4 linked regions of the Canis lupus familiaris genome follow. The protein of the gene in region 3 interacts with the protein of the main gene of each other region in a pairwise test. Links are inferred from orthologs where the notes say so. Each region holds a gene or a part of one and is shown on either strand. Other genes may lie near its edges.

Region 1 (7,429 bases), on a different chromosome or scaffold from region 3:
AGCTGAAAATAAAAACTGTTAAGAAAGTTCAGTGGAATAATCAGTAAACAATTTAACAAAAGAAAGATCAAAAGCTTTCCTATGCAACAATAATCATTTGGAAAATATAAAAGAAGAAATAATCCAGCCCAGGAGCAAAAAATGCATCATATAACTTGGAAAAATAAACTAATAAATTTAGTGCAATTTCCATGAAAATTCCATCTCTTTTTGAACTTGGAAAATTTTATAAAGTTTTCTGGAAGTTTCTTTCTCTTTTTATTCTTCTATATACCGTAGGTCATATTTATTTTTGCCCCTTGCAGAATCATTTTCATTTAGTTGAGCTTTATGTTAGGCCTTCAGCTGAAACTGGAGATCTTCTTTATTTATTTATTCAACAAATATTTATTGAAGCCTAAGCTGTGGCAGGTACTGTTCTGGATATTTGGGATCTATCTGTGTCCAACTTTTCTGGAACTAGCTTTCTATCCCTCTAAGAAACAACCATATAAACGTAGCTATTCATTGAGACTATTTGCTACTTTGCAGAGTACACTAGGGAGAAGTTTCTTAAGACCTACCAACTAGAAAAGTGGCTATGGAATTTATCATATAAAGTCTACTTATGAGCAAAGGAAAGTTTCTCCTTTTGATTTGCCAGGGAAGTTCTACTTGAGGAACTGTAAGATTGTATGTCTATTGTATTCCAATGCAAACTTTCACCCCCTTTTGGAATGTCTTGTCTTCCTATTTCATCTATATTTTCGCTGGCCTTACTATTAAAAATTTTGAATTTTTTTGTTTCATTGTATGAAACAATGTACGTATGAACTGCTTCGAATATCAAATACCCTGTGGGAGTAGAGGAACTAGATAACACCAAGGGGAAACAGACATCCAGAATGTGGTGCGTTTTTTAAGACAACTGCCTTTGTCTCTTCAAAAAAACAATATTAAGAAAAGCTAAAAGGTAGAAGGGACAATTCTAGATTGAGAAATAGGGAAAAAAACTTTACAAAAACATAACTGAATGCAATAAGTAACCCTTGATTGGATCCTGGCTCAAAAGAAAGTATCTACTATAAAAGATTATTTTGAAGGAAGCTGAGGAAATTTGAATATGGCATGGATAATAGATAATATTAGTAAATGTTAATTTTCTCAAGACCTAATAACAGTGTTATGATTATGAAAGAGAATGTTCTTATTCTTAGAGATACATACTTAAGTATGTTGGAGTGATGTATCCTGTCTGCAACCTTAGGATGATTCAGCAAAAAAAAAAAGTATATATAATTTTTACAAACATTTTTATATGGCAAATGTTAATTGTTGAATTGTTTGGTCTGCGTATTGGGTAGTATTAGAGTGGAAACTATTCTGTGAAATATTTGGAAAATTTTAAAATTGATATATATTTTTCTATTGTGCACAGATAAAAGACATAAAACTGTGGTTATCAAAAACATTTGAATATTTCAGTGAAGCAATTTCCTATGCAGTAAAGCTTCTAAAGAAAGAGATTGGGGAAAGGAAAAAAAAAAAAGAGCGAGACGGGGGCAGCCCGGGTGACTCAGCGGTTTAAGCGCCACCTTCAGCCCAGGGTGTGATTCTGAAGACGTGGGATCGAGTTCCACGTCAGACTCCCTGCATGGAGCCTGCTTCTCCCTCTGCCTGTGTCTCTGCCTCTCTCTCTCTATGTGTGTGTGTGTGTGTGTGTGTGTGTGTGTGTGTGTGTGTGTGTGTGTGTGTGTGTGTCTCATGAATAAATAAATAAAATCTTAAAAAAAAAGAAAGAGATTGATACTTTAATTTTCTATGGGGATTAAATTTAGAGACTCTATTATGGTCCAACTATCACTAGAACCACTATAGGTGTTTGCTAGAATTTTGATGTTCAACGTTACAGAGATCTGCAGAACTATCTCTGGGTAATTTACTTATTCATTACTCTCTGAGTAGTATTTTCATACATCTGATTTTGGGAATCATTATCTTTGATTTCATATTCTGCATTTATACTCCCTAACACATTCTTCTCAAATGGTAATTTTCTTATGCAAGCCATTAGAAATTGTTGTAGATACTATTGTAGTTAAATTTAGAAAATATGCTTCAGGACAGCCTGGGTGGCTCAGCGGTTTAGCGCCGCCTCCATCCCAGGGCCTGATCCTGGAGACCCAGGATCAAGTCTCACATGGGGCTCCCTGCATGGAGCCTGCTTCTCCCTCTGCCTGTGTCTCTGCCTCTCTCTCTCTCCCTCTGTGTGTCTGTCATGAATAAATAAATAAAATCTTAAAAAAAAAAAAAAGAAAATATGCTTTAAATATTTTTAAAATGAATCAATAAAACCTTATGTTAAAACTTTTTCAAAGAATTATATACTCTACCAGATGGAGATGTATCTCTCTTGTTAAATTTTAGTATGGAAAGAGACCACAACATTGTCACAAGAGTGTATATGTAGACTTAAGAGGGAAAAACTTCTGAAATTCCTAAAGAACTTGGAAGAAATTTAGTTGAAACCTTAGTGTTCTAATGAGAAGAGTTTGCCTCTGTAATGTAGCCCATGTCAATATCTACTTTTAAAACTAGAATTTGTTTTGATTTCAAGTAAAGTCGATGTCAAAGAAAATATGATCCTGAAACACTGACCAGAATAAGTAAAATATAAAATGTAAACAAAAACATTTAAAAACATTTAAAAACTAAGCACATTCATAAAATTGCCAACACAACAGAGAAAAGAATGCAAGAGGGCTGTTCAACCCCACCACAGGGATTTTCAGAGTACTGTTTTTAACCAGATAGATGAAAAACAGCAACAAAATCAGGCTCATTCAGGAAAAACCAGAAAATACTCTATTTGGAAACTGGTAGTAGTCCTTTTCAGGAAAAAAAAAAAAAAAATCTGTCAGTTTCATGAACCCCCGGATAAAACAAACAGGAAAAAAATCACACACACGATTCACTCAACAAAACGTCCTGTGTTAACACAACCAGCAGTACAACCATCACTAAAACCGTGAGGTAGTGATAGTACAAAAACACTGACACACGTGTGAACCCACACATGCTCACATTCACGCCCACTACAGAACACACACAGGAAGTGGGTTTGCAACCTCTTTAAAGACAAGGACAAAACCTTTTTGTTTGTTTAGAAAATGCATAGAAATGGCTTAGACATTTTAATTAAATTATTATAATAAAAACTTGAAAAAATCAAATCACGTACGAATGACTCATTTCCCTCTTTTCCCCCCCTACTACTCTGTGTTTGAGTGAAAGGCTCTTGTGTAACAAACGGAAGGGAAAGGAGCAACTTCAAGCGGTGTCTGATCAGCCGTCATGAAATTCCAGGGAAACGCAGGAGAGCTTTAAGGTTATTCATAAATCTGGAGTGGCGAAGACCGAGTCTGTGCGAGAGTGGTTTCACTGGAAGTGGAAGTTTGAACACGGAGGCTTGAGAAGCGAGGGCGGAGAGAGTAGACCACTTATCAATAACCTCGGGATTTGTTATTCTTGCCGCTTGCGGACTATGACATCACTGAAATTCTGCAACTACTCCCGCTGAGACCTCACTGAACTCTCGCGATACTAGAGCCCAGGGGCGCGCGAAACGCCGTGGGAGGGGCTGGGTGAGATCGACTGACTTCCGGCCAGGCCGTTGTCTGGGTGGCGCGGTCGAGTCATTGCGGGGCCGCGGCGCTTCGCTCTCCCATCCCTCCCCCCGCCCCGGCGCGGGGGGTCGACCAGCCGAGTGGGGCGGGCGGCGACTCGGCCCTTCCCCTCCGTTTCGCTCTGGCCAGCTCCCGGGCCCCGCGCGCTGGGGTCTGGGGTCCTGGGGGCCCGCGAGGCCCGGTCTGAGGGGCCGGGGCCTACGTGGGCCCGCCCGCCGCTGGGCCCCATGAGGCATAGCCTGACCAAACTGCTGGCGGCCTCGGGCAGCGACTCCCCAACCCGCAGCGAGAGCCCGGCTCCGGCCGCGACTTGCTTGCTGCCCCCGGACCTGACCCGGGCGGCGGCGGCGGCGGCGGCGGCGGCGGCGGCGGCGGCGGCGGAGGAGGAAGAGGCGGCGGCGGCCGGATCTCCCGGCCGCAGGCAGCCGCGGGGCGACGAGGGCGACTCTGAGGCCGGGAGGGGGGGCCGCGGCGGCGTGGCCGTGCGCGCGCCCTCGCCCGAGGAGATGGAGGAGGAGGCGATCGCCAGCGTCCCCGGGGAGGAGACGGAGGACATGGACTTTCTGTCCGGGCTGGAACTGGCGGATCTGCTGGACCCCCGGCAACCGGACTGGCACCTGGAGCCCGGGCTCAGCTCGCCCGGGCCCCTCTCCTCGTCCGGCGGAGGCTCCGACAGCGGCGGCCTGTGGAGAGGGGACGACGACGACGAGGCCGCGGCCGCCGAGATGCAGCGCTTTTCCGACCTGCTGCAGAGGCTGTTAAACGGCATCGGAGGCTGCAGCAGCGGCAGTGACAGTGGCAGCGGCGAAAAGAGGCGGAGAAAGTCCCCAGGAGGCGGCGGCGGCGGCAGTGGCGGCAACGACAGCAACCAGGCGGCGACAAAGAGTCCCCGGAAGGCGGCGGCGGCTGCTGCCCGTCTAAATCGGCTGAAGAAGAAGGAGTACGTGATGGGGCTGGAGAGTCGAGTCCGCGGTCTGGCAGCCGAGAACCAGGAGCTGCGGGCCGAGAATCGGGAGCTGGGCAAGCGCGTGCAGGCACTGCAGGAGGAGAGTCGCTACCTACGGGCCGTCCTGGCCAACGAGACCGGACTGGCTCGCCTGCTGAGCCGGCTGAGCGGCGTGGGACTGCGGCTGACCACCTCGCTCTTCAGAGACTCGCCCGCCGGTGACCATGACTACGCTCTGCCCGTGGGAAAGCAGCAGCAGCAGCAGCAGCAGCAGCAGCAGCAGCAGCAGCAGCAGCAGCAGCAGGACCTGCTGGAAGAGGACGACTCGGCGGGAGGAGTGTGTCTTCATGTGGACAAGGATAAGGTGTCGGTGGAGTTCTGCTCGGCGTGCGCCCGGAAGGCGTCGTCTTCTCTTAAAATGTAGGGTCAAGTAATCTGCTCTTTATCCGCGTTTACCCCTTTCAACTCCCTTACACCATGTAAAACACCTTAGTGGGACATCTTCACTGGACACATTTCAGAGGAGGAAAAAGTAATATTGAATCGTTAAGTGTTTAGCTAAAAGCATGAATGTGACACTGTAACCAACTCCTAATGATAACATGTGACTATTAAATCTCTCTGACAGTTTCTTTTTTAGGTGATTTCCTTCCTGCCAGGCTCCGTTGTAGGGGTTACAGAACAGTCGTTCCCGCCTCACAACCTGGTAAGGATCCATCTCTTCACGTAACGCTCATGCTCTGCTGCTTAGTCTACTTTAATGGGCAACATCTCAATTTGTGTGTGTGTGTGTGTGTGGGTTTTTTCTTTTCTTTTTCTTTTTTTTTTTTTTTTTTGGAAGGTGGGAGGGGAAGTCTAATTTGGGCCCTGTCCACCCTGGAAACAGACTTGTGCTGGTCAGTAATGTATTTAAGATGCTTCTTCTGGTTGAAATAGCTGTTAATGTGTCCCCTTGTTCAGACTTGCGTGTACCTAGCTCTTCTGTCCCCAGTGTGGACATGGCCTTGGATGACATCGGTTCCAACTGTACACTGAAAGCTGCTAATAGAGATACAGTTTGGAGACAGTCAAACAGGTGAAGTTGAATGGAAGTTCCGAGTTGTACAAGGTGCAAATTGGAATTCCAATTTTAGAGCAACTTTTTAGAGGTTGACAATAAGTATTTGGGGCTTGCACAAATGTGATAGTTAACTTTGCTGAAGATGACAGAAATATCTTAACTATTTGGGTATGCCTTTTAGTTTTCAGTAGGAGATCTAGAAATACAATCTATTCGGATGAGAAGATTTTAATCTCACCATTTAAAAAGTTGGAAATTAACATGCATCTCTGTGTTAATTAATTGAAGGAGGAATAAGAGTGGTTAATGAAATGTTTCTTTGAGGACCAGCACAGTGATTACCCTATCACTGACTATAAATAAATTGTTGAACACCTTTACTTTTGTTGTATTAAAATTTTAGGTTAAATTTATGTATGATTAGATAAATTGAAGGTTTGTGAAATGTGAATGAAAACATGTAAAGTGAGGCTTCACAAAGAATCTTACTACTCTCCTTATTTTAAGGTTTTTGTCCTTTTTAAAAATAATTTTTTTAAATTGGCTGGTTCTGGCTACTTAAGGACACGATCGACACTTTCCAAAGATGGGACATACTCTTCCCTTGAAGTACTGTATTATCCATTGTCCAGTTGTATAGATTGAGTTACGGTGTCCTTCAGTGTAAGAGGCATTAAGAAATTCTTTGTGAAACATCACTGTTTGATAAAGTATATACATATTTAGCATCCTTGTTTTTCTTTGTGCTAAAGTGGATACAGCTGTTGGGGCAGAAGAGACGGGACCAGCTGCTGGCCACATTTCCTGCTTTATTTTAAAAGGTAGTATAAGAAATGAGGAAAAAGAGGTAATTTCAGGGCTTCTGCTGTCTTTTTATTTTAAAATGTTCATAATTAAAAAGTATTTTCCAGCAGTCCAAAGATGTAAGTTATCTTACACATGTTTTATTTTGTTGTTATTTGGTTATAAAAATGGAATCCTTGTTCTTGCAGAACTGTAAATGTTTTGTTGCTAGATAACATGATTTGAGACCTAACTTTGGTCTCTGGTTTCCAGTGCATTACAGCATATTTTGTAAAATCATCTGCACTTGAGCATGAATGGGTAGTACCAAATTCACAGCCTGGAGTGATGAACCTGCTTATTCCTAAGTGCAGGAGCAAGCCCCTCACAATGCAGCTGCATGGATTTTTAGTGCCTACTGAATTATATATATATACATATATATATAAAAACCAAAAGTAGTTGGAAAAATTATTTGAAATGACTAATTTGTGCTATCTATGGAATATGTTAAATGTAGCTTTTTGAAACAGAAGCCTTGAATTGAAATTTAATTAATACTTGAACATTTTGTATATATTTCTTTGTATATAATTTTGTGCAGTACCAATGACAAAAATACGGTGTCATAATAAAACCAGGTTTGTTGATCTTTCAGTTATGGGCTCAAAGAATTTATTCATCTCTAACATGACATTGGAAAATAATGGATGAAAATAGGAAAAATGATTGTTGTTAATGCTGACTGTGGGTCTTAAAAGGTTCTGGAAGCAGTAAGTGTGTTTTTCTAAAATACCATTCCCTTGGAATATTTTCTTCTAATGTCAGTGCTTTTCCTGCATCATTTGAAGTTCGGGGCTGGGGAGAAACAGTAATCAAAGCTTTCTGAAGTGGGATGCTTTGAAAATTCCAAGTGTAGATTTTTAGGATGTCATTTTATAAATGGCAGTTTTTGGAAATACTTGATTAAGAACT
Region 2 (7,297 bases), on a different chromosome or scaffold from region 3:
CCCTACCTCTTTATTATTTGATTTTTACCTTTATTCTTTTGTATATGATATACAGTGATAAGAGCATGGGATATTATAGAACTATGCATTTGAATGTGAAGAGCTTTTGAGGCTTTTTAAAAAATATTTTATTTATTTATTCATGAGAGACACACAGAGAGAGGCAGAGACATAGGCAGAGGGAGAAGCAGGTTCCTCGCAGGGAGCCCGATGCGGGACATGCCCTGAGCCGAAAATAGACACTCAACCACTAAGCCACCCAGGCGTCCCAGCTTTTGAAGCTTTGTAATTGAACAAGTTTCTTAACCAATTTGATTCCTTTCCTTTCCTATTAAATGGAAGAATTTGTACATCATAATTCTTTTTTTTGTTTTAATTAAATAAAATGTTATACATTGCCTGATGATAAATAGAACCTTAGTAAGCACCACTTGTCTTTTTTAAAACAGAAATATCAGCTATGAAAGGCACATTGGGAAAAAGAAAGAAATTTGAAAACGGATTAAGTGGGGCACCTGGGTGGTTCAGTCGGTTCAGCGTCTGCCTTCGGCTCAGGTCATGATCCCAGGTCCTAGGATGGAACCCCACATTGGGCTCCCTGCTCAGCAAGGAGTCTGCTTCTCCCTCTCCCTCTATCCCCACTCATGCTCTGTCTCTCTGTCATAAATAAAATCTTTAAAAAAACTTTTAATTAAAAAAAGAAAATGTATAGGTATTAGATGATATTAGGAAATTATTCTTAATTTTTATTGGTGACATAATGGTAATTAAATTATCTATAAAATGTCCCTAATATTAGGAGATAAACACTGAGATATTTAAGGGTAAAGTGCCATGATGTATGTTTCTCAAATGGATGTATTAAGTGGTATTTCAATCAAAATGTCAAGAAGAATTTTTGTGGAAATTGATGAGCTGAGTCTAAAATGCATATGAGGGACGCCTGGGTGGCTCAGCAGTTGAGCGTCTGATTTGGCTCAGGGCATGATCCAGGAGACCCAGGATCAAGTCCCACATCCGGCTTCCTGCACGGGGCCTGCTTCTCCCTCTGCCTCTGTCTCTGCCTCTCCCTCTCTCTGTCTCTCATGAGTAAATAAATAAAATATTTTTTAAAAATGCATATGAAAATTCAAAAGACCAAGAATCACTAGGCATTATTGAAAAAAAAAGAACAAAACTGTAAGACTAAATGACTATATACATATGATATATATTATAAAAGGACATCCATTATAACAGTGGTACTTATATAAGGATAGAAAAATTAACCAAACAGAACAAAATTCAGAAGAAATAAACCCACATAAATAACTTAGTCATTTGATTTATGAAAAACATGACTCTATAGGAGGGAAATAGCTATCTTTTCAATAGTGATATTAGGTTGATTAAATATCTGCTTTTTTAAAGAGTGGGAGCATGAGGTGAAGTGGGGGCACAGAGGGAGAGGCAGAAGTAGACTCTCCGCTGAATAAAGAGTCGAATACAGGGCTTGATCCCAGGACCCTGGGATCATGAAATGAGCCAAAGGCAGACATTTAACCGACTGAGCCACTCAGGCACCCTTGAATGTCCATTTCAAAAAATGTACAAAAGGGGGGCCTTTACGCATACCAATAACTCATACTGAAAACATACAAAGAAATCAATTACAAATAAATTGTGAATACAAATGAAAGATCAAACAATACCACCACATAGGTTAAGCAGGCTCCCTGTAGGAAGCCTGATGCGGGACTCAATCCCAAAACCCAAGGATCACGACCTGAGCCAAAGGCAGATGCTCAACTACCTAGTCACCCAGGCATCCCAGGGCCAACTATATTTAAAAGATTGCCTGTACAGACAGACAAGTACTCAATTCCTCCAATTTAACATACCAAACATTTATGGGCAACATATCATGAGCACACAGTGATAAGAGCAGTGAGAGAGGTAAGCAAATATGCTGTAGGATAGCACACAATGCACTGCGGATAAAAGATTGAAGAAGACGTGAGGATGGATGTAAAGATACGTCTTCTAGACGTATTAGGTATGTAACTAACAACATACCTAAATGTATGTAAAGACATGTCTTCCTAGAGGGCTGGTAACTAACAACATACCTAATTGATAGCAAGAAGCTCGCCAAGATTAAAAAACAAAAGAATATGGGAAATGTATGTGCCTGGATTAGGTTATTTCAGTATGTAGAGTGCTACATTAAAGCCATGCAAAAAAGTGACAATGGGCAAGGGGGGTGTGGAAGCAGAGTGAACAAATACAGAGACACCAACATAAGATATATCCTGTTTTTCCCATTAATAGCTGTACATAGTTCGTGCCCTCACTTCCTTTAGGTTTCTGCTCAAATGTTGCCTTACCAGGGAAGCCTTCCTCACCATCCCTATTTAAAATACTACATCTCCTCTCCATTACAACTTACTCATATTTACTATATATTCATTTACTGTCTCTCAACTAAAGTTTAATAAGCTTTTTATTTTCCACTGTTGTATCCTCAGTGCTTAACACTGTCTGACACATAAAGTTATTCAATAAAAAAATTCTTAGATGAATAAATGATGGTTGCACACTGGGTTGAAGCCGTGGGATATTTAAATGCTGTGTTACTATAACTTGACTAGAGAATACAGAGACATCAGCAATACCCTTCAAAAAAGTTTTTAAGTGTTTTAGTATCATGAAGTCGAGCCTGACTTTTTTCTAAACGAACTGAAAATTACACCTAGCCCAGAAAAAGATTTACGTCTTATTTTGGCAAGTATAACACACTAGTTACAGGAGGAAAGGAATAAATTGCTTGTTCAAGGGAATTCTTGGTGAATAAATTCCTCTTTAGAGCCTGAATAATCCTGACACTCATTTTAAGTTTAATGATCATATCCCCTCTCTTGGGTAAAAAATTGAATAATAAATTGTGATTAACTAACGTTCTCACGAGACAAAGTAAACATGATGAATGGAACAGAAAAATATATTTCACCTTGCACGAAATAGAGAATACTTGCGAAGTTCCCAGGAAAACTTTGAAAATCTGTCAGCTTGCTGTTCAATGTTGCCACCAAAGACCAGAAAAAGATTTGAATAGGCATAACTCATATGAAAAAATAAATTTGTGATTGGATGTCATATCCGTCAACCATTTCTGTCCTATGACAAGTTCTAAAGGAGATGGGAAAGCTTCGACCATCAAGAATTGACACAAGTTTTACAGGCAAAACCCCTATGACTGCTCCTCTAAAAAGTGGGGATTGAGTTCTGTGCCAATTTTTTTTTTTTTTTATGTCAGGAGGGTTAAAATCAGTGCAGTTTCTGATGTATCATTTTGGTTAAGAGTAAAAATAAACTCAGCAATAATATAATAATCTGAACAAGCTCCTGTGTCTTAGGACTAAAATTTCTGCCACTGCTTATTTTAAGGAAATAAAAGAGTTGACCTTGAAACTGAAGTCACACCTGGTTTTGGCAAGTTTTTAATTCAAAGGACTCTGAAAGAGGCGGGCAGGAGGGGCGGGGGGGGTGGAAAGTAAAGTACTGGAGCTGAAGAAAAAGGAAGGGCGTAGATTCCTAACGGGAGAAGGGGGTTGCAAAAGTTTTGAGGCTAAAAGGGGCCGGGGAAGAAGGTGGAAGTTAAGAGGTAGGAAAAAAATCTGTGGTAGAGGAAATGGCCCAGGCTCAGAAATATCAGGAAGAGGATCTGGGGTAACGAGGAGAGGTGAAGAATGACCAGGGATAAAAGGACAAAAATAGAGAGGGAGGACAGCCTGCCATCTTCAGAATAGGTAGACAGGCGACCGGAACCATAAGCGTCAGAAACATCCTTCACACAATGTGCTCTGGGGATGAAATCTTTCCACCCCATGTTGAAGCAAGGAGGAAAGCTTCCCGGGAGGGTTTGGAGACTCACTTGTGAAAATTATGAGCCTCTTTCTTTCCACTCACCTCAGTGAAGAAAGCCCCGACACAACGATGGCGTAACCGGAAGCGCTATTTTCCTTCGTTTGGCGGAAACTTATTTTCCGACGCCACGCCCCCTTTACAGGCAACTTCCTGTGCCTCTCTAGCAAGCTTTTACAATACTTTATTGCTCTGGCTTTCAGCGTATCAGAAGCTGGTTAGTGATGTGAACCGGCTCAGAGACAGTAACTTTTTACTAATTAAAGCTCTAGGGTCGCCTGGGTAGTTCAGCGGTTTAGAGCCTGCCTTTGGCCCGGGGCGTGATCCTGGAGTCCCGGGATTGAGTCCCATATCGGGCTCCCTCTCCCTCTGCCTCTCTCTTTCTGTGTCTCTTATGGATAAATAAAATCTTTATTTTTTTAAAGATTTTATTTATTTATTCATGAGAGACACACAGAGAGAGGCAGGCAGAGACACAGGCAGAGGGAGAAGCAGGCTCCACGCAGGGAGCCCCATGTGGGACTCGATCCCGGGTCTCCAGGATCACACCCCGGGCTGAAGGCGGCGCTAAACCGCCGAGCCACCGGGGCTGCCCTAAAATCTTTAAAAAAAAGAAATTTTAACTCTAGTCATCCGAAGAACTGCATTATTTCAGCCAAACCCCACATATCCAAATTTGTCACCTCGCCTTATTGATTTAGCCCTTAAAATACCTTCCTAACCCTTAGTGCCTTGACTCTTGGATGCCAACAGTTATGTATTTGCCATACTGGTTTACCATTTTCTAACATACCATGTTGAGTAAAAAGTTCATTTTTATAAGTGGCATACTTCGATTTCGAGATTTTAAAAAATCTTAGATCTGAATCATTTTTGTCTCGGAATAGTATCCAAAGAGTTACATGCTATACTCAAATTAACAAATAAAGGTAAATTCATCTAGAAAGCATTCTTGTATATGTATATACCCCCCCCAAGAAAATGACAACTGACAAAATTTTCTTTTTTTAAGATTTTATTTATTTATTTATTTATTATGAGAGACACAGGCAGAGGGAGAAGCAAGCTCCATGCAGGAAGCTCGACGTGGGACTCGATCCGGGGTCCCCAGGGTCATGCCCTGGGCTGAAGGCAGGTGCTAAACCGCTGAGCCACCCAGGGATTCCCAAAATTTTCAATAATAAGAATAATCCTTACTCTGGTTAAAAGTTCAATATTGAATCACCTATTGCCACTACCTCCAGAAAACACTGGGTCCAAAATCTGTACCTGTTTTCCTTTTTTGTGGTTATTTTCAGTCAATCTACTACTATACAGTGAGCATCTACCATGTCCCAAATACTGCGCTACACTCATGGGCATTGCAGTAGGAACCCACAGCTTAGGAGCTAAACGTGACATTTTAAACACATAAGAGCCTGGCATAAAATAGGTGATTATTGATGTTTGTCAGATGAATAAATAACCAAAATGTGATCAGGGAAATGACAGGGGCCAGCACCAGGTTCTTACTTTTGATGGTATTTTTATAGTTCATTTCAACATTTTAACTCATATTTTGTCATTCAAACAGCAGATTCTGAACAACCACTCAGCGTAAGGTTCCGTTCCTGATATTGCCCATATAAAGAAGAATAAGACTCAGTCCTGGATTTCAAGACCCTCCAAACAGTGGGGGAAATGAATACATAAACAAGTAGCAACGCTATAATGCGACAAAATAATAGGTAAAGGAGACCTTGTAGGAACTATGACTATCCCATTGATTGGTGAATACTAAAAACCTAAAATACACCTTATCTACTAGAGAGTGCTCAATAAAGATTTGTTTAATGTTGAATAGATTATTGAATGGACGAATGAAAGGGAAGAATGGCAGTGGACTTGAAGTATACTGTGAAAGGAGTAGTAATGGGTCATGAATCTGAATGTTAGAAGAGGCCAGAGAAGGAAGGATCATGGAGTTTGAGCTTAATTATGAGGAAAACAGAAAGCCAAAGAAAAATTTTAAGCAAGAAAGTATTTAGTAATATTTAAAACCAGAATACAGAAAATGGGTTGTACTGGTGCAATCTGGAGGCAGAGAGGTTGATTCAGAGGATATTGGTGTAATCAAAGAATAAATACAGAAAATTAGGGGCTTATGCTATTAATAATTAATTGTATTTGGGAATTGAGGTGGAAAAGTTAGCCAGTGGATTATCAGAAATCCAGAGGCATCGAAATCTGATAATTTTTCCTCGACTTCCTCCACATTCAAAATTTTGACAAATCCATGCAACAAATATTTATCGAACAGTTAATATGCACCAGGCTCTGAGGATAGAGCCATGACCAAAATGGATAAAAATTTCTGCCCTCACAGGAACTACATTTTTGTGTCGGATAATAAAATATTTAAGAAAAAACATACCAGAAGGTGACAAGTATTATGAAGAAACAAAGCAAGTAAGTAGGATAGCAATGTACACAGGGGAAGAGGAGACGAATGCTATTATGGAAAAACTCACTGAAAGGATGATATATGAATAGTTACAGATTTCATCCATTTCTCTCAGTCATCAGGATCACTTAGTTCAAACCCTCCATGTTTCTCCCCAAATCCCAACTCCTTAGCATGGTATACAAAAACCTTGGTAGTCTAACTTTGTCTCTCTCTCTCTCCAGGCTCCTCTCTAACTACTCAGCTTTTCCTTTTCCCACCCTAAGTCAAAGTCTCATACAAGTGCTTACAATTTGGAAAGCGCACTGAGACCTCAAATCTACATGCTTTCACACCCTGCTATCTAGTATCACCTTTCATAGATCAGCTCATATTTTATCTCTATCATTAAGCCTTGCTGACTCTTCCTTCCACTCCTTAATCAAAACCAGACAACTGTTCCTCTTTTCTGCTTCCACCATGTACCTTGTTCTTATCACTTTATTTTATTCACTCGACAAACATTTGTTAGTCAACTACTGTGTGCTTGTCACTGTTCAAGGCAATACAGATACATGTTTAATTAAAGGAGTGGAAAAAAATCCTCACACATTTGAAACTTACATTTTAGTGAGGAAGACAAGCAATAAGCAAAATAACATAATAAATACGAATTTATAAAGCTGTAGTTCTTGCCTCTGGGTGCCCATTATAACCACATGCATTATTTTCTATATATCATATATTATAATAAAGATATAAAGAATAATTTTAGAGGTGCCTGGGTGGCTCAGTCAGATAAGCATCTGGCTTTCAGCTCAGTTCATGATCCAGGGTCCAGGGATCAAGCCCCTGCTCAGCAGGAAGCCTACTTCTCCCTCTTCCTCTACTCTCCCCCTACTCATGTTCTCTTCCACTTACTCTGCTCTCTCTCTCTCATGTAAATAAATAAATAATCTTTTTTAAAAAGAA
Region 3 (7,427 bases):
AAAGTGGGAAGTATTAAGACTTCAGAAATAGGAACCATTACTGTTGTGGGATATCAGGTTGCTTGGCTGAAAAGATTCTGAGAACAAGGACAGAGAGGAGAAAGCACCCCAAGTGGAGTGCATAATTAGCAAAGGCTCAAAAGTGCAAATGAATTGGGTAGATATCTAATGGGGGGTGGTTCAGTTTGGTTGGTAAGTTTGGCAGGGGGAGTGGGGGAAGGTTGGAGACATGGATATAGAACAGCATTTTCCAAACCAACCTATTACACTAGACACACAAGACATTAATGTACAATCTAAAAGAGAGGGTTATCGACAAAGATGATCAAGTAAGCTGATAAACACACAGACTGTTTCCACAACAGGATATGTTGTTCTATGATAAACATGGACAAGTTTCATTACCTCGGTTCTCCTCAAAGGTTTGAACATGGTATAATTCCTTGTGAATAGAACTCAGAGGGATACAGTATGCAACACTTTCCCTAACTTTTTGGACTATGAAATCCTCTTTTAAAAAAAAAAAATAATTAAAAAAAAAAAAAAAGAAATCCTCTTTTCTGGAGCACTCATTAACTCTTAGGCAACTGGTACTTTCTGAGCACTGTTTGGAAAGCCAGGAGGTAGAGGAAGACTGGAAGGCTGGAGCCAGGCTTAGAAGACATTGATTTTAGGTTAAGAGTTTAATTGACTTTATTTGGCAGGTGGTGATGAGCTCCTCAAGGTTTTATCAAGAAAGATAAGTGACAATGCTGAGACAGATCTGTTAATTAGTAGGCAAATATAATGGAAACTATAGGCAGTAAAGTGGTCACTGATTTTCAAACTTTTCTTTTACCATCTTGACAACTGTTAGCATATCTATATTCTGCCTACAATATTAACTTTTTCTTTAAGGCTACAACTTTTTAAAAACCTAAATATTTACTTCAGCTTCACCCTAAAAAAATAACCAGATATATTATGGGTTTGACATCATATTTTCTCCAATACATGTTAAAATAAAAACACAAGTATTAATAATATTTTAAAAGTTGGTCTGGGGCAGCCCCGGTGGCCCAGCGGTTTGGCGCCGCCTGCAGCCTGGGGTGTGATCCTGGAGACCCTGGATCGAGTCCCTTGTCGGGCTCTCTGTATGATGCCTGCTTCTCCCTCTGCCTGTGTCTCTGCCTCTCTCTCTCTGTCTCTATGAATAAATAAATAAAATCTTAAAAAAAAAAATTTCCCTTTAAAAAATAAAAAATAAAAAAAAAATAAAAGTTGGTCTGTGTTCCACCTAACATCACATTAAGCATCACCAATTTTAAACATTGCATACCTTGGGAAATTCTAAATTTGAGCAACGTTTGACAACCATTTTTAACCATGGCCCTTCATGTAAGATTTCATTGGTTTTACTTTCTATAATTTATATTCTGACAAAGCAGGTATTTTCCCTAAAGTTAAAATTAGAATATTTTATATGCTTCTTAAATCATCCCCCTAGCCAATAAAAAAAACAAAAACAAAAACAAAAAAAACCAATAAAAAAAAATCATCCCCCTAGAAATTTTGGTACCCTCTTTACTAAGTGGGTATGGTCCTGCAGCCAGCCCTTACCACCAGTCGCACGAATCACTGAATATTGTATAGAATGAATTCATGTGCACAGCAGCAGTGAGAAGGGAAGTGATGGGAAGGATAAGAATTACTGAAAGAAGTAATTACTCAACTTGAGAGCTGCTTAGATGTAAAAATTGAAGAAGGGAAACAGTCAAAACTGACTTTGACATTTTCATCCAGGAACTCTAGATAGGTGCTGGCACACTATGGCATGGGCCAAGTGCTGCCCACTGTCTGTTTTCATAAATAAAGCTTTATTGGAACACAGCCCTTTTAATCCATCTACATCTTATCTATGGCCACTTTTGTACTACAACAGCAGAAGTGAGTATTTGTGATAGAAACCGTATCGCTCTCAAAGCCTAAAGTATTTATTATCTGGCCCTTTACAGAAAAAGTTTACTGACCCCTAAAACACAGTAATGTCATGGACAGAAGTAACAAGATAAATGAGAATTATCCTTTTGATAAGATAATCAATTTGGTCTCAGCCAGATTGAATTTGAGGCTATGGGAGAAAATTTCTATAAGAATGTCCAACTCAAAAAAAAAAATTAAAAAAAAAAATGAATGTCCAATTCAAAAAAAAAAAAAAAAAAGAAGAAGAATGTCCAACTCAGAAGTTAGAAATATATTGGGCCACCTGGCTGGCTCAGTCAGTAAAGCATGTGACACTTGATTCAGGGTCATGAATTCAAGCCCCATGTTGGGTATAGAGCTTACTTTAAAAAATTTTTAGAAGAAAAAAGAAGCTAAAAATATATCACTAGTCCTGAGAGACATCTTTTTAAAGATAATATTTTTCCTTTCCTTTTAAAAAAAATTAGTAACCTTCTATGCCTTTATACAAATAGAATTTGAGATGTCTAGAGGTTAAGTGTTGAGCAGTTAACCTGGACCTACCTACCAAGGTAAAGGTGGCCACCCCTTAATAATCCAAAATAGAGCTTTACATTTTCACCAAGAAGGAAGAAAGTCAGAACTTTTCTTTCTTTCATGAGACAATATAGAATGAAAACATGAGAAAGGGAAGAAATTGGTTGAAGGCCAGTCTGAGAAAACTTCAGAGGCCAATCAATCCCAGCAAAACCATTCTTGGGTAGCCCTTCAAAACGTGGAAGGCTCATCTTTTGATTCAACATTTAAGCTTTCCCTAAACCCTGCTGTACAGAGACTCCGTGCTATCTCTGATGCCAAAATGGTGGCTGACTTTTTTTCTAACAAGCTCTTGACTTAAGCTTTCTCATCTATTCAGCCCACTAGTTGATGATTTGATCATTTCAGTAAGTGTTATGGTCTACAAAAAGAGCAGGAGATTGGGTTTGGGAATCTGAGATTCAAAAATCTGTGCTGGTCCAACTACTCACATGATTTGGGCAATATCAACTGGTATTTACATAACCCTTTATGCTTTCCCATATTTTATCTTTTGTGGCCCTTGCCATAGCCATGTGGGAGACAGGTATGATTATCTCTGTTTTATAACTGAGGACAATGAAGCTGACAGAAGCTAAATTACTTGCCCCATGTCACACAGGCAGAATCAGGACTCCAGTCGTCTAAGAATTTGGTGGTTTCCTACCACATCATTCTGACTTTCATTGACCAGTCTTTAGGAGTGGGAAGCAAATATTCTTGCTTTGGAAACCTAAGATGGCATTTTAAAAAGTAATCATACACTTTTATAACAAGGAAATGTAACATCTTCAACAAATCTAACCACACTTTCTTATCTTCTACTTAGGGGAGGCAGAGAAGAAATTTTAGAAGCTATGTGAGTAATATGCTCTGTAATATTTGCTACTCTGGGCCTTGAACCTAGTGCTAAACTTTGAAATTGAGCGGATTTTTCTTTCTTTTTTCGGCTTAACTGTAACAAGTGGTTTGTCTCACATTGCCTCTTAAAATATTAAATCCTTAAAAGAGCCATTTTAATCCAAGCACTCACAGGCTGGATCTAACTTGCACATGCTTTTTTTTTTTTTCTTTTTGGCCAGAAAGGGGAAAAAAAAAATTAAGCCATTACTTTAAAATTAGAAGGTTTAGGATCTGGCTTTTGAGATTTTTGGCTTCCTATAAAAACAACACTATCGGGCAGCCCGGGTGGCTCAGCGGTTTAGCGCCACCTTCAACCCAGGGCCTGATCCTGGAGACCCAGGATCGAGTCCCATGTCGGGCTCCCTGCGTGGAGCCTGCTTCTCTCTCTGCTTGTGTCTCTGCCTCTCTCTCTCTCTCTCTCTGTGACTATCATAAATAAATAAAAATTGAAAAAAAATATTAAAAAAAAATACTGAGCCTATGTCATCACAGGCAACAATCCATCAGGGGGGAATGGCAGAAGCCGTGGCGATTGCCAGTTGCCACCACTCCCTATTGCTCCTGGACAGGGAGGCACCAAAGTAGTTGCCATTTGTCATTGCTCCTGTGTTGCTTTATCCTTATAGTAAAAGAATAGGTCTCTGTAACCATACCTCTCTTTCAGAGTGAAAGGCTGACATAAAGGGATATGGCTTTCCTAGCCCATGCCACTTGCCACTCGTTTCCTAAATGTAATCTGATCTGAGCCATCACTGATATAAGATTATCAGATACATCACTATCCTATAACCACTAAGAATAAAACCACAAAGCTATTAAACTATGACTTGCCATCAACGGTAACATGCATTCCAATTTCAGAGATGTTTAAACACCAAAATGTGCATCTCTGCCAATTAAATGAGGCACGGTACCTGCCTGGCTTTTGGAAACATGTGAATCTATGACCTTGCTTTAAATATGTGTCTGTGTCAATGTGTGTTGCATCTTATAGTAACATCTTTAGCACAGACATCCTCTTCAGTTCACTTACTTGGAGCTACATGCTTATCATCAGTCACTTTTGTTTTCTTTGTAATAGCCATAGGTGGGGCTTAAATTTTCATTAGAAATCAGCCCAGGGCCACACAGTACCCTCTCCCTGCCAGCCTTGGGTAAAGCTTCCCAGGCCTCTCAATCGGCTCCCACAACTGCCAGTCAGACATATCCAATCAATTGATGCTATTCCTTCTGCCAGACCTGTTCAGTAGAATGCTGAAGCACATGATCAGCCTCAGAACAAAATGGGAGGAGGAAGAGGTCTGAAGTGGGGTCTCAGTCTTCCATTTCAAGAGGTGATGTTCAACAATTTAAAACTGGTTTAGCAGGAGGACCAACCAATCTGTATAGATGGCAACTATGCTGGAACTAGGTTCAGAAGGTCCCCTGCTGTTACAGGTGTTAACCCTTGGGGGCTGACTTGGGGGAGGATGTAGGAAGCTTGAGGGCGGGGCAGGAGCCCCCAGGGCAGTGGCTCCTGGGAAACAACAACCATTATGACCGTATGAGAGTGTACTGGTTAAAAAGCAACCTTGCCCATAGGTAAGCTGTGGCATCAGCAAGCTATGAAGTGGAAAAACATTCTGGAAGGATACAAAACATCAAAACCGAATTGAAAGGAAATAAAAAATCTGAATAGAACTATAACAAGCAAATAATTTAGTAATTTAAAATATTTACATAAAGGTAAGCCCAGGCCAAGATGGCTTCAGTGGTAAATCCTACTAAACCTTTAAAGAAGTAATATGAATCTTTGCAAACTCTATCAGAAAAATAGTTTGCAACTCTATTCTGTGAGGCCAATATTATCCTGCTACCAAAGCCAGACAAAGACGTAATAAGAAAACAAACCAATATCCATGATGCTTTTGAACACAAAAAGTCCTCAACAAAATATTAGAAAAATCAAATCAGGCAAGATATAAAGAAGATTATATATTATGACCAAGGGGGATTTATCCCTGGAATAAATAAATAAAGCTGGTTGGTTTAACATCTGAAATCACTAATGTAATACACCATATTCATAGAATAGGGGGCAAAAACTGAATGATCATATTAATAAATGCAGAAAAAAAATGGCAGGATACTTCCTTCATCTGATAAAGGGCCAATAAAAACTTTTTAAAAACTTAATGCTAACATCACACTTAATGGTGAATGTTTGACTGCTTCTCTTTTTAGACTGGAAACAAGGCAAGGATGTTTGCTGTCATCATTTGTATTTAAGACTTAATGGGTATTCTAACCAGTGCACTAAAGCAAGAAAAAAGTAAAAGGCATGCAGATTAGAAAGGAAGAAAAAAAAATTTAGTTTACATGATCTTCACACACACACACAATTCAGTTGACATGATCTTCACACACACACACACACCCCAAAACAAAATGAAAACAACAACAAAATCCTACTAAAACTGTTAAACAATTTCAGCAAGGCCAGAGGACACAAAATAAACCAAAACTGAATATCTATCAATCTGAAAATGAAATTAAGAAAACATTTCCATGCACAATAGGACCAAGAAGAATAAAATACTCAGGACTACACTTAAAAGAAGTACAAAACTTTTACACTGAAAATTATATAACATTTACACTGAAAATTATATAACATTGCTGAAAGAAATCAAGGGACACTTAAGTAAATGAGATACATTCCATACTCATGGATTAGAAGCCTTAATATTATTAAGATAGCAATACCCCCAAATTGATCTATAGATTTTATATAACACCTATCAAAATCCCAGCTGTCTTTTTTTTTTTTTTTTTGCAGAATTTGACCTTAGATTTATATAGAAATGTAAAAGACCTAGGATAGCTAAAACAATCTTGAAAAAGAACAAAGTTAGAGGACCATTCTTCCCATTTTATTTTTTTTTAATTTTATTTATTTCTCTATCCATGAAAGACACAGAGAGACAGACAGAGGGAGAAGCAGGCTCTATGCAAGGAGCCCGATGTGGGACTCGATCCCGGGTCTCCAGCATCGCGCCCTGAGCCAAAGGAAGAGGCTCAACCGCTGAGCCACCCAGGTATCCTCATTCTTCCCATTTTAAAAACTTACAACAAAGCGACAGTAATCAACACAGGGTGATATTGTCCTAAGGACTGACACTATATGTTAATGGAATAGAATTGAAAGTCCAGAAATAAACCTCTACATTTACAGTCAATTATTTTTTGACAAGAGTACCAGGTAATTAAATGGGAAAAGAATAGTCCTTTCAACAAATGATGCTGGAACAACTGGATAGGCACATACAAAATAACAAATTTGGACCCCTACCTCACACCATATACAAAAATGAACTCCAACTGGATCAAAGTTCTAAAAGTAAGGGCTAAAACTGTAGAGCTGTTAGGAAACAAAGGGATATGTATGAGCTTGGGTTACACAAAGATTTCTATGTACAATACCAAAGGCACAATTGATAAAAAGAAAAAAATAAATTGGACTTTATCAAAATTAAAAACTTTTGTTTCAAAGACACTGTCATGAAAGTTAAAAGACAATTCACAAAATAGGAGAATATATTTGCAAGTAATTGTAGATATATCACATGTTTGATAATGGACGTTAATCCAAAATATATAACAAACACAATTCAAAAATAAGACAAAAACCTAAGTAAAAAAATAGGCAAAAAATTTGAAAAGACAATTTACCGAAGAAGATATATGAATGACCAATAAGCTCATGAAATGTTTAAAATCACTAGTCCTTAGGAAAATGAAAACCAAAACTATAATGAGAACCACTTCACACTTCACTTCACACCCACCAGAACAACTATAACTTTGTATAGTTGTTGACAAGACAACTTTGTCTTGTCAAAGATACAGACACTAAGAAGTACTGGCAAGGATGTAGCAAAATTAGACCCTTCATATGCCACAGGTGGAAAGTAAGATAGTACATTCAGGTTAGAATGAGGAATTCCTCTCAAAGGTAAACATAGAAT
Region 4 (7,191 bases), on a different chromosome or scaffold from region 3:
CTTGGGGCTTGAGCTGTCCCAAGGGGAGAGGGGGAGGGAGAGGGAGAGAGCCAAGGAAAGTGAGAGAGGGAGGGGGAGGGAGAAGGACAAGGAGGAGGGGGAGGGGAGGGGAGAAGGAGGGGAAGAGACATAAGCTGCCACAAGGCCAAGAGAAATGCTGTTCCTGGTTATTAACATTGTTCATCATCAGAAATGTCATGTATTATAGGTGTATAATAGATAGATTTTGTAGATTTTGTAAATCGTTGAGAATGGCAAGTTTTGTTAATCATTATTTTTGATGTTGTTCAATGTCAAGGGATCAGATTTATTTGTGTGATTATTTTTCATATCAGTTAAATATTTTCTGAAATCTTCGTCTTTATTCTCTCTTCACTTATCGCATGATCCTGACATGCGGATTTTATAAAGATGTAAAGGGAAGGAGGGAGTGGGAAGGGAACTAGCCCAAAGTCCCTGCAGCTTGGGCTGCTGTGCCCGGGGCACTGGACCTCTTACCCAGAAACGTCGTCACCTCCCTGCGCAGTGGCAGGACCCGCTGGGGGAAGTCCCGAATTCTCTGGCCCAGCTCCTGAGACACAGCCTCTGGCTTTCGGCACTTTCTGGTTTCACTCCTAGGGTACAGGAAGAGCAGGGTTTGGGAAGCCCCCCCCCCTTCGCGATGTCCCCAGACTCAGCTGGGCACAGAGGTCCCCGCTCCCACAGGCGGACATACTTCCTCTGGGATGGGCCCACCACCCACACCTGGTCCACTGCTGGCAGATATGGTTGGAGGGCATGAGGGGTTCAGGTGGACCATGAGCCTGGGTGTGACAATGCCATCGGCGTGTGGGCAGCGACATGTGCCAAGGTATGCGTGAGGATAGGCATGTGGCTCACCTTATCAGAGTGCTTCTGACGCCCTAGGAGAAATGGGGGGAGCAGGAGTTCAGAGAACACAAACCTGGGGTTCCCATATGGGGTCCTGGAGTCCCAGAATTGTAGGGTTGGCAAGGCGTCCGGGATCATGGAGGCCAAGCCCTTTATTTCATGGTCCATGCAGTGAAGTGACTTGCACACCTGCTGGAGGCCAAGGCGCATCCCATGCGGGTCCCCCCACACCTCCATCCAGTGAACCACGAGTGGGCGCCCCCCGACCCCATGTCACGCCGCCATTCCCAGGCCTTGCTGGGACCCTCATATCGTCCCTCCAGGGAAGGAGATGACATGCACCGGGAGAAGTGCCTGCCACTGGTGGCCCGTGATGCAGAATAGCATGCCTTGGAAATAGCTGGCAATGTTTTCAAAGTGCTACTTTGTACTGTATTTTTCCTTTGGACCCTCCCCAAACCCTGAGAGGTTGATAAGGACGGTGTCCTCCCTGTTTTATGGAAGGTGGGATGGACAGCCAGAGCCCAGGGACAGCGTGGCGGGGGGACCGTCCAGGAGGCAGGGACACATGCGTGGAGGGGGCAGCTGGGACCGTGACGGTGCTGGAAGGGCGGGCAGGGCGGGCGGGGCTCACCGTCAGCAGCTCCCTGGCGGGCCTCTCCAGCTTCTCCTCCAGCTCGGCCACCAGGGTGCTAAACCGGCAGATCTCCTCACTGACCAGGGCGTCAAAGACATCCCGTTGCTTCAGGATGTCGCCATCCAGCTTCTCCAGCTCAGCTAAAAGGACGCTCTGCTGCTCCTCCAGGAACTGACTCAGATGTGCAAACTCGAAAATCACTTTTTGTCTTTTGGTGGCCACCTGGCACTGGGCAGGGTGGAGGCCAGGAGGGAGTTATGCCTCCTCCTCCCCCCTTCCTTCTGCCACCCCCCCGCCCTTGCCGGGCCCAGGTTCACGTCCTCCACGTTTCAGTGGAAAATCCGAGCCTCCAGCAGCCCCAGGTGCCCGGACAGAATGGCATCCCCTCCACCCACCAAGCTGCTTCTGGGGGCTGACTGCTCGGCGTGGCCCCAGCCCCTCTGTGGGAGCTTCCAGAAGCCTGTGGCTCAGGCCGGGAGCTGACCAGGAGACAGTGGGGACAGCACACCTCTCGTCTTGCACGAGGTTGCTTTAGGGGCACAAACACACTACACATTACAGTGACTTGGGGAGGAGGGAGACTTGTAGTGTCTGCTTCGCTGCAATACGGAGGCCAGAGACTGGCTTGAGGTCACAAAGCTGGTTACTGTGGGAGCCCAGGCACGACCTCAGAGTGACCTCTCAGCCCCACATGCTCCGCGGGGACATGGTCCAGGGAAGGGACAGCGACCTACTAGGAGGACTTGTATCCGCTGGTTTTCTCTCGACTGGATTCTTTGAATCTCCTCTCTCTCTCTTCTCAGACACTCAAGACACTTCTGTATTTGCTCCTGGAGGGACAGAGTAGGAAACAATGGCTTGTGCATGGGGGTCTCTGCCTCTGGGGTGGACAGCCCTGAGGACGGGACCCCTGCCCACACTGACTGTGCCAGTCCTAACGTCCTGGCAGGCTGCTCTCCCCAGCTCTCTTCCTTCCAGCTTTGCTCTCTGGAAACGCTGATCCCCTGAGCCCTGAGCCGTCCCCTCCGCCCAGGCCGGCACAAGCTGCTACTCAGTTTCCCCACCCGCGCCCTGCTGTCTTCACGCTGAAGACCCTAATTAGATCTGTTTGGGCCATGTTTGGAGCCTGACACGCCCTTCTCTGAAAGCACCCCAACTTTCTGACATGTCTCAGAAGGCATGCGTGCAAACAGTCCTCTCTTGTGACAAGAATCTGTCAGGTTCCAGATGGGAGGAGAGGCTTACATAATATTAAAGTGGTCAATACACTGTTTTAAAAACTGTCCACTCTAGAAGAGTCAGGATCAGGGACAGATGCATGGAGGTCCACAGAGGGGCATCCAGAGATACCTGCCCTCACCGTCAAATGCTAGTGAACTAACATGTCCAGACAGACCCCACTTGTATCACAGCGCAGTGAGTACATGACTAAGAGGAGCACGTGGCTGATGATAGACACAATTGCACATTATGTTTCCCCTCCGTGATTTTGAACGCTGAAGTATCCACAAACACGAGCACACACATGCTCCCCACCCCATGACACCAAATGCACGCAACTGGGTGAACGTCCATGCACACTCCCTGCTGTTTGTGCAGTCCACCCCCAGACATGACTCCAACATCCTCAGACCCCTGACCCACTGTGGTCACTCAACCATTCCACACCCTGCTGAGCTTCTGTATGTGCTGGCCATCTGTGAGCAACACGGAGAGCCCTGAGCATACATGCGGTCCCCACCCCTGGGTCGGCTGCCTGAGGAGAGGCAGGAAGGAGGGCGTGCCTGCGCCCAGGGACCCCCAGTGGCCCGTGTCCTACCCTGTAGGGCCCTGCTGCCTCGTCCAGGAAGCGCACGGTGTGGGCCTGGTGCTCCTGGGCCTCCCGGCACACCACACACAACTGCGCCTCATCGTCCTCACAGAAGAAGTAGATCTTCTCCCCATGCTCCTGGCAGACGTCCTCCTGGTCTGAGCCCAGCGTGGACACCAGCGTAAGGCGCTCAATATTCTCCACCACGCTGGCCAGCTGCCAGTTGGGTCGGAAGCCCCCCAGGCGGAAAGGCTCCTTGCATAGGGGGCAGTGGAGGGGCTCGTTGGGGTCAGGGCCCGGGATCTCACAGTAGCGGGTGAGGCAGGCCCGGCAGTAGTTGTGGCCGCAGTCAACGGTTACTGGCTCCCTTAGCGTGCCCTGGCAGATGGGGCAGCTGACTTCGTCGGCCAGGCTGCTCACAGATGCCATGGTACCACCTGGCCCGGGAGGTCCTCACGGCCAGCGTCAGTGCGTGGCTGAGGGGCAGGGCTGGGGGAGAGGATACACAAACATGTGTGCACACACCCAGACACGAGGAGCACGTCTTAAATGCACATGCCTGTGGTCGTGCACACACTCACACTCACGCTTGCACACCAGGGTTCTTCTGTCCTCCTCCCTCAGGAACATGTGCACGCTGTCTGGGAGGGAGATGGGGCCACAGCATACCCACACGATGTGGCTACTCTCTGGGCGGCTGCGTGTGTCTTCCTGTCCATCCGTCCGTCCGCAGACATGCATTGGGAAGGACGGGGCAGTATCTCAGCCGCGCACCGTTGAGGACATGGACCTTCCTCTGGATGGGAGGGACAGTGGGTTGGGGAGCAGAGCCGCCACCCTGGCCCCCCTGCAGCTGCCGGCTGTGCGGGCAGATTGCAGGTATCAGCAGGCCCAGGGCTGGCGGGTCTGCAGGTAGGGCAGCGTGCACTCCCAGATAAGGTGCCTGTGCTCAAAGGCATGGGCAGGCGGCCACTCCATGTGGATGCTGGGTGGGGGCAGACACACACTTGCACTCAGGTCTGAACATCCTAGCCCTGTTGTCAAACAGAAACACAACGTGAGCCCTGGATTCAGCTGAAGTTTGCTGGTAGCTATATTTTACTAAATGAAGTTCATTATCGTAGTTTATTTAGCCCCCCAAATTATCACATCACCATGTGCTCAGTCTAGGAATGCATCATGAAACATTTTGCATTTGTCCTAATGGTGCTATGTCTTTGAGATCTCAGCAGGAACCAGCCATGGGCCCTTGTTTGGTCCATGAAGGACAGGTGGGGGGGGTGGGTACAAAGAGGGTACACCGAACCACAGAGGTGAAGAGGTGGTGAAACCATGCAGCACTGATCGCTGGGTGCAGGACTGGGTGTTTGGCTTGTCCACAGATGCAGGGACAGGAATAGGACTGTGGCTGTGGGGCCTTCCGTGGGCATGGGGTCAGTGTGGGGAGAGCACAGGGCATGGGGACAGCATAGGGCTGGGAAGCTCAGAGACTCCTCTCCACCCTAGAGCTAGCTAGCCTCACTCTCTGGCCCTTCACATGCCTTCATCTGGAAAATGAACATCGTCCTAACTGTTCTAAAGGGTTCTTGCCAGATTGGCTGTAATAATATGAAAATACTAAGTTCTCCTAAATATGCTTATTCTACCCTTGACCTTTTGAGCTGAGTTTTCTACATTTCATTAACAGAAATCATTTGTATTATAATTTCTTGCCTTCTCCCACCTGAGGTTAAAGACTGAAATTAAAGTGCAGCGTGACCCAGCATCACCCTGTTTCTGTTTGGGGTTCAGGAGGCTGGGCCAGGCAGGTGGGGTGAGCCCCATAGGGAGGCAGAGGAGGGGCCCTGGGGCGCCTCCCATGGCAGTCTGGACTTTGCCGCCGCAGGCACAGCTCACACCTTATAATCAGAGCTCCTGGCTCCCACCTGCTCCTTGCTCTCCGAACGCTCTCCACCCCACAGTGGTCACAGGAAGTGTTCCAGGAAGATCCATTTCCCTGTGACTTCATGGCACACTGGGGGCCATGAAGTCCACCCTAGGGACCAGAAGGACATGGAGGAGTGGCGGATGGGCTGACCAGGCCACTGCTGGGAAGTGCTAGGTAATGGGAGCCATCCTGGAGTTTGAACCTACTCAGCTGAAGTGTGGTGGTCCTGGCTCAGCTCGGGCTCGGGAAATGTTAAGAGGTAGAGCTGGGTGGCATCCCCACTGGGACTTTCCTGTTGTCTTCTCTCTCAGCTACCCATGATGTTCCCTCCATGACTCACGCCAAAGTGAATGAGTTCAGGGAGAGAGGACTTCCATGGCCAGAGGCAGAGGCCTCCCTGGACAGGCTGGGGAGGTACCATGATGCTTTCCAGCCCTTCCCGCCAGGAGACCCCTCAGGGATGCAGTAATTGCCCTCTGTGGACACGCCCTCTGCTGGCCGTGCCTCCTCCTGCCTTCCCAGATGGGGGCCCAGCCATCCTGCGAGGTCCTGCTTTGTCCATGCTGCAAGAACCAGGAGCGCCCAAAGACACCCATGGTGCCAGTGCCACTGGGCCTGCTTGGAGACACATACTATGAGGAACATGGAGAGAAGATTTACTTCTTCTGTGAGACCGACACATAGCTCCTCTGTGTGCTCTTTTGGGAGGGTCCTGACCACCAGGGCCACACCAAGGGGGTCCTGGACGCAGCCATTCAGCCCTACTAGGTAAGGAGCAAGGCTTCCCCTTGGGCCTGCATGGGTGGACAGTGTGCTGTCATCCACAGTGAAGGGAATGGGCCAAGGGTCTGGATGATGGGGAGCTAGACATGGCCTTTCTGTGCTTGGGGACACCATCCCCCCAGTCCTGGCCTCCTTCTCTTTTGGAGGTTTTCTTTTTTTTTTAACTTTTTAATTTTTTTTTTTTAAGATTTTATTTATTTATTCATGAGAGACACACACAGAGAGAGAGGCAGAGACAGAGGCAGAGGGAAAAGCAGGCTCCATGCAGAGAGCCCAATGTGGGACTTGATCCTGGGGTTATGGGGTCATGATCTGAGCCAAAGGCAGATGCTCGACCGCTGAGCCACTCCAGCATCCCTCTTTTGGGGGTTTTCTTATCAGACTCCGGGGAAGCTTGTTTCTGGCACTTTTGCCCATTGGGAAAGATATTCTCTTCACTTCCCTACTTCTGCCCAAGGGCATCTGGGCCAAGGTTGTGGAGTCCCAGTCCCACATCACAGCTGGATGTGGTTCTTTTTTTATTTTTATTTTTATTTTTATTTTTATTTTATTTTTTTATTTTTTGGATGTGGTTCTGATACACCGTCCACAACCATCTTATCAGCCACCTTACAGAGCAGAGAACAGGTCTGGGAACGTGACCACTGCCAAGGCCACAGAGCCGAGGTCATGATGACATGGCTAGAGCCTGGGTCTCTCTCTCTCTCTCTCTTTCTAAGATTTATTTATTTTAGAGAGAGAGTGAACAGGGAGGGGCAGAGACAGAGAATCCCAAGCAGACTCCCCGCTAAGCTCAGAGCCCAACGTGGGCTCAATCCCATGACCTTGAGATCACAACCTGAGCCAAAATCAAGAGTCAGATGCTTAAGTGACAAAGCCACCCAGGCGCCCCTAGGACCTGGGTCTCTTGACCTGGGCCGCTGTTCCCATCCCAGTCTGTTTGCTGGGAAGCACTGCCTTCAGATGGGAAGTTCTCTGGTCTAGTCCTGATCTGAGGCCGGCCCTGAGCACTGTGGGTGAGTGCTGTGGCTCTCTGGCTCACTGCCATCTCTATTTCTGAGCCACATGGTTACCCAGGAGAGACATTGCAGTAAGAGAATCCCTGGGGCACTGACCACAGGAGTAGAGTGTGGGACCAGGAAAAGACCTCCAGCGGTCTCTGCT

Evidence for each region.
Region 1: the proteins of TTC23 (region 3) and CREBZF interact in binary tests that used the Homo sapiens proteins (3 or more experiments, as listed by UniProt). The two-hybrid records come from large-scale screens. The link is inferred for Canis lupus familiaris from reciprocal best matches to the Homo sapiens genes TTC23 and CREBZF.
Region 2: the proteins of TTC23 (region 3) and MAGED1 interact in binary tests that used the Homo sapiens proteins (3 or more experiments, as listed by UniProt). The two-hybrid records come from large-scale screens. The link is inferred for Canis lupus familiaris from reciprocal best matches to the Homo sapiens genes TTC23 and MAGED1.
Region 4: the proteins of TTC23 (region 3) and tripartite motif-containing protein 10-like interact in binary tests that used the Homo sapiens proteins (3 or more experiments, as listed by UniProt). The two-hybrid records come from large-scale screens. The link is inferred for Canis lupus familiaris from reciprocal best matches to the Homo sapiens genes TTC23 and TRIM10.

The regions. Positions count from the first base shown.
Region 1 is NC_049242.1:13,868,540-13,875,968, forward strand, and holds the start of CREBZF (CREB/ATF bZIP transcription factor), read left to right. Parts: upstream 1-3,630; 5' UTR 3,631-3,892; coding exon 3,893-4,015; intron 4,016-4,048; coding exon 4,049-5,035; 3' UTR 5,036-7,429.
Region 2 is NC_049260.1:44,747,601-44,754,897, reverse strand, and holds the start of MAGED1 (melanoma-associated antigen D1), read right to left. Parts: upstream 3,994-7,297; 5' UTR 3,949-3,993; intron 1-3,948. UniProt on the Homo sapiens protein: Involved in the apoptotic response after nerve growth factor (NGF) binding in neuronal cells. Inhibits cell cycle progression, and facilitates NGFR-mediated apoptosis. May act as a regulator of the function of DLX family members.
Region 3 is NC_049224.1:41,887,365-41,894,791, reverse strand, and holds the start of TTC23 (tetratricopeptide repeat protein 23), read right to left. Parts: upstream 4,639-7,427; 5' UTR 4,506-4,638; coding exon 4,454-4,505; intron 3,362-4,453; exon of another isoform or gene 3,347-3,361; intron 1-3,346. UniProt on the Homo sapiens protein: Participates positively in the ciliary Hedgehog (Hh) signaling.
Region 4 is NC_049256.1:27,846,323-27,853,513, forward strand, and holds the start of tripartite motif-containing protein 10-like, read right to left. Parts: upstream 4,160-7,191; 5' UTR 3,987-4,159; exon of another isoform or gene 3,899-3,986; intron 3,807-3,898; 5' UTR 3,747-3,806; coding exon 3,327-3,746; intron 2,338-3,326; coding exon 2,242-2,337; intron 1,736-2,241; coding exon 1,505-1,735; intron 1,447-1,504; exon of another isoform or gene 1,194-1,446; intron 1,063-1,193; coding exon 944-1,062; intron 851-943; exon of another isoform or gene 619-850; intron 615-618; coding exon 499-614; intron 1-498. UniProt on the Homo sapiens protein: E3 ligase that plays an essential role in the differentiation and survival of terminal erythroid cells. May directly bind to PTEN and promote its ubiquitination, resulting in its proteasomal degradation and activation of hypertrophic signaling.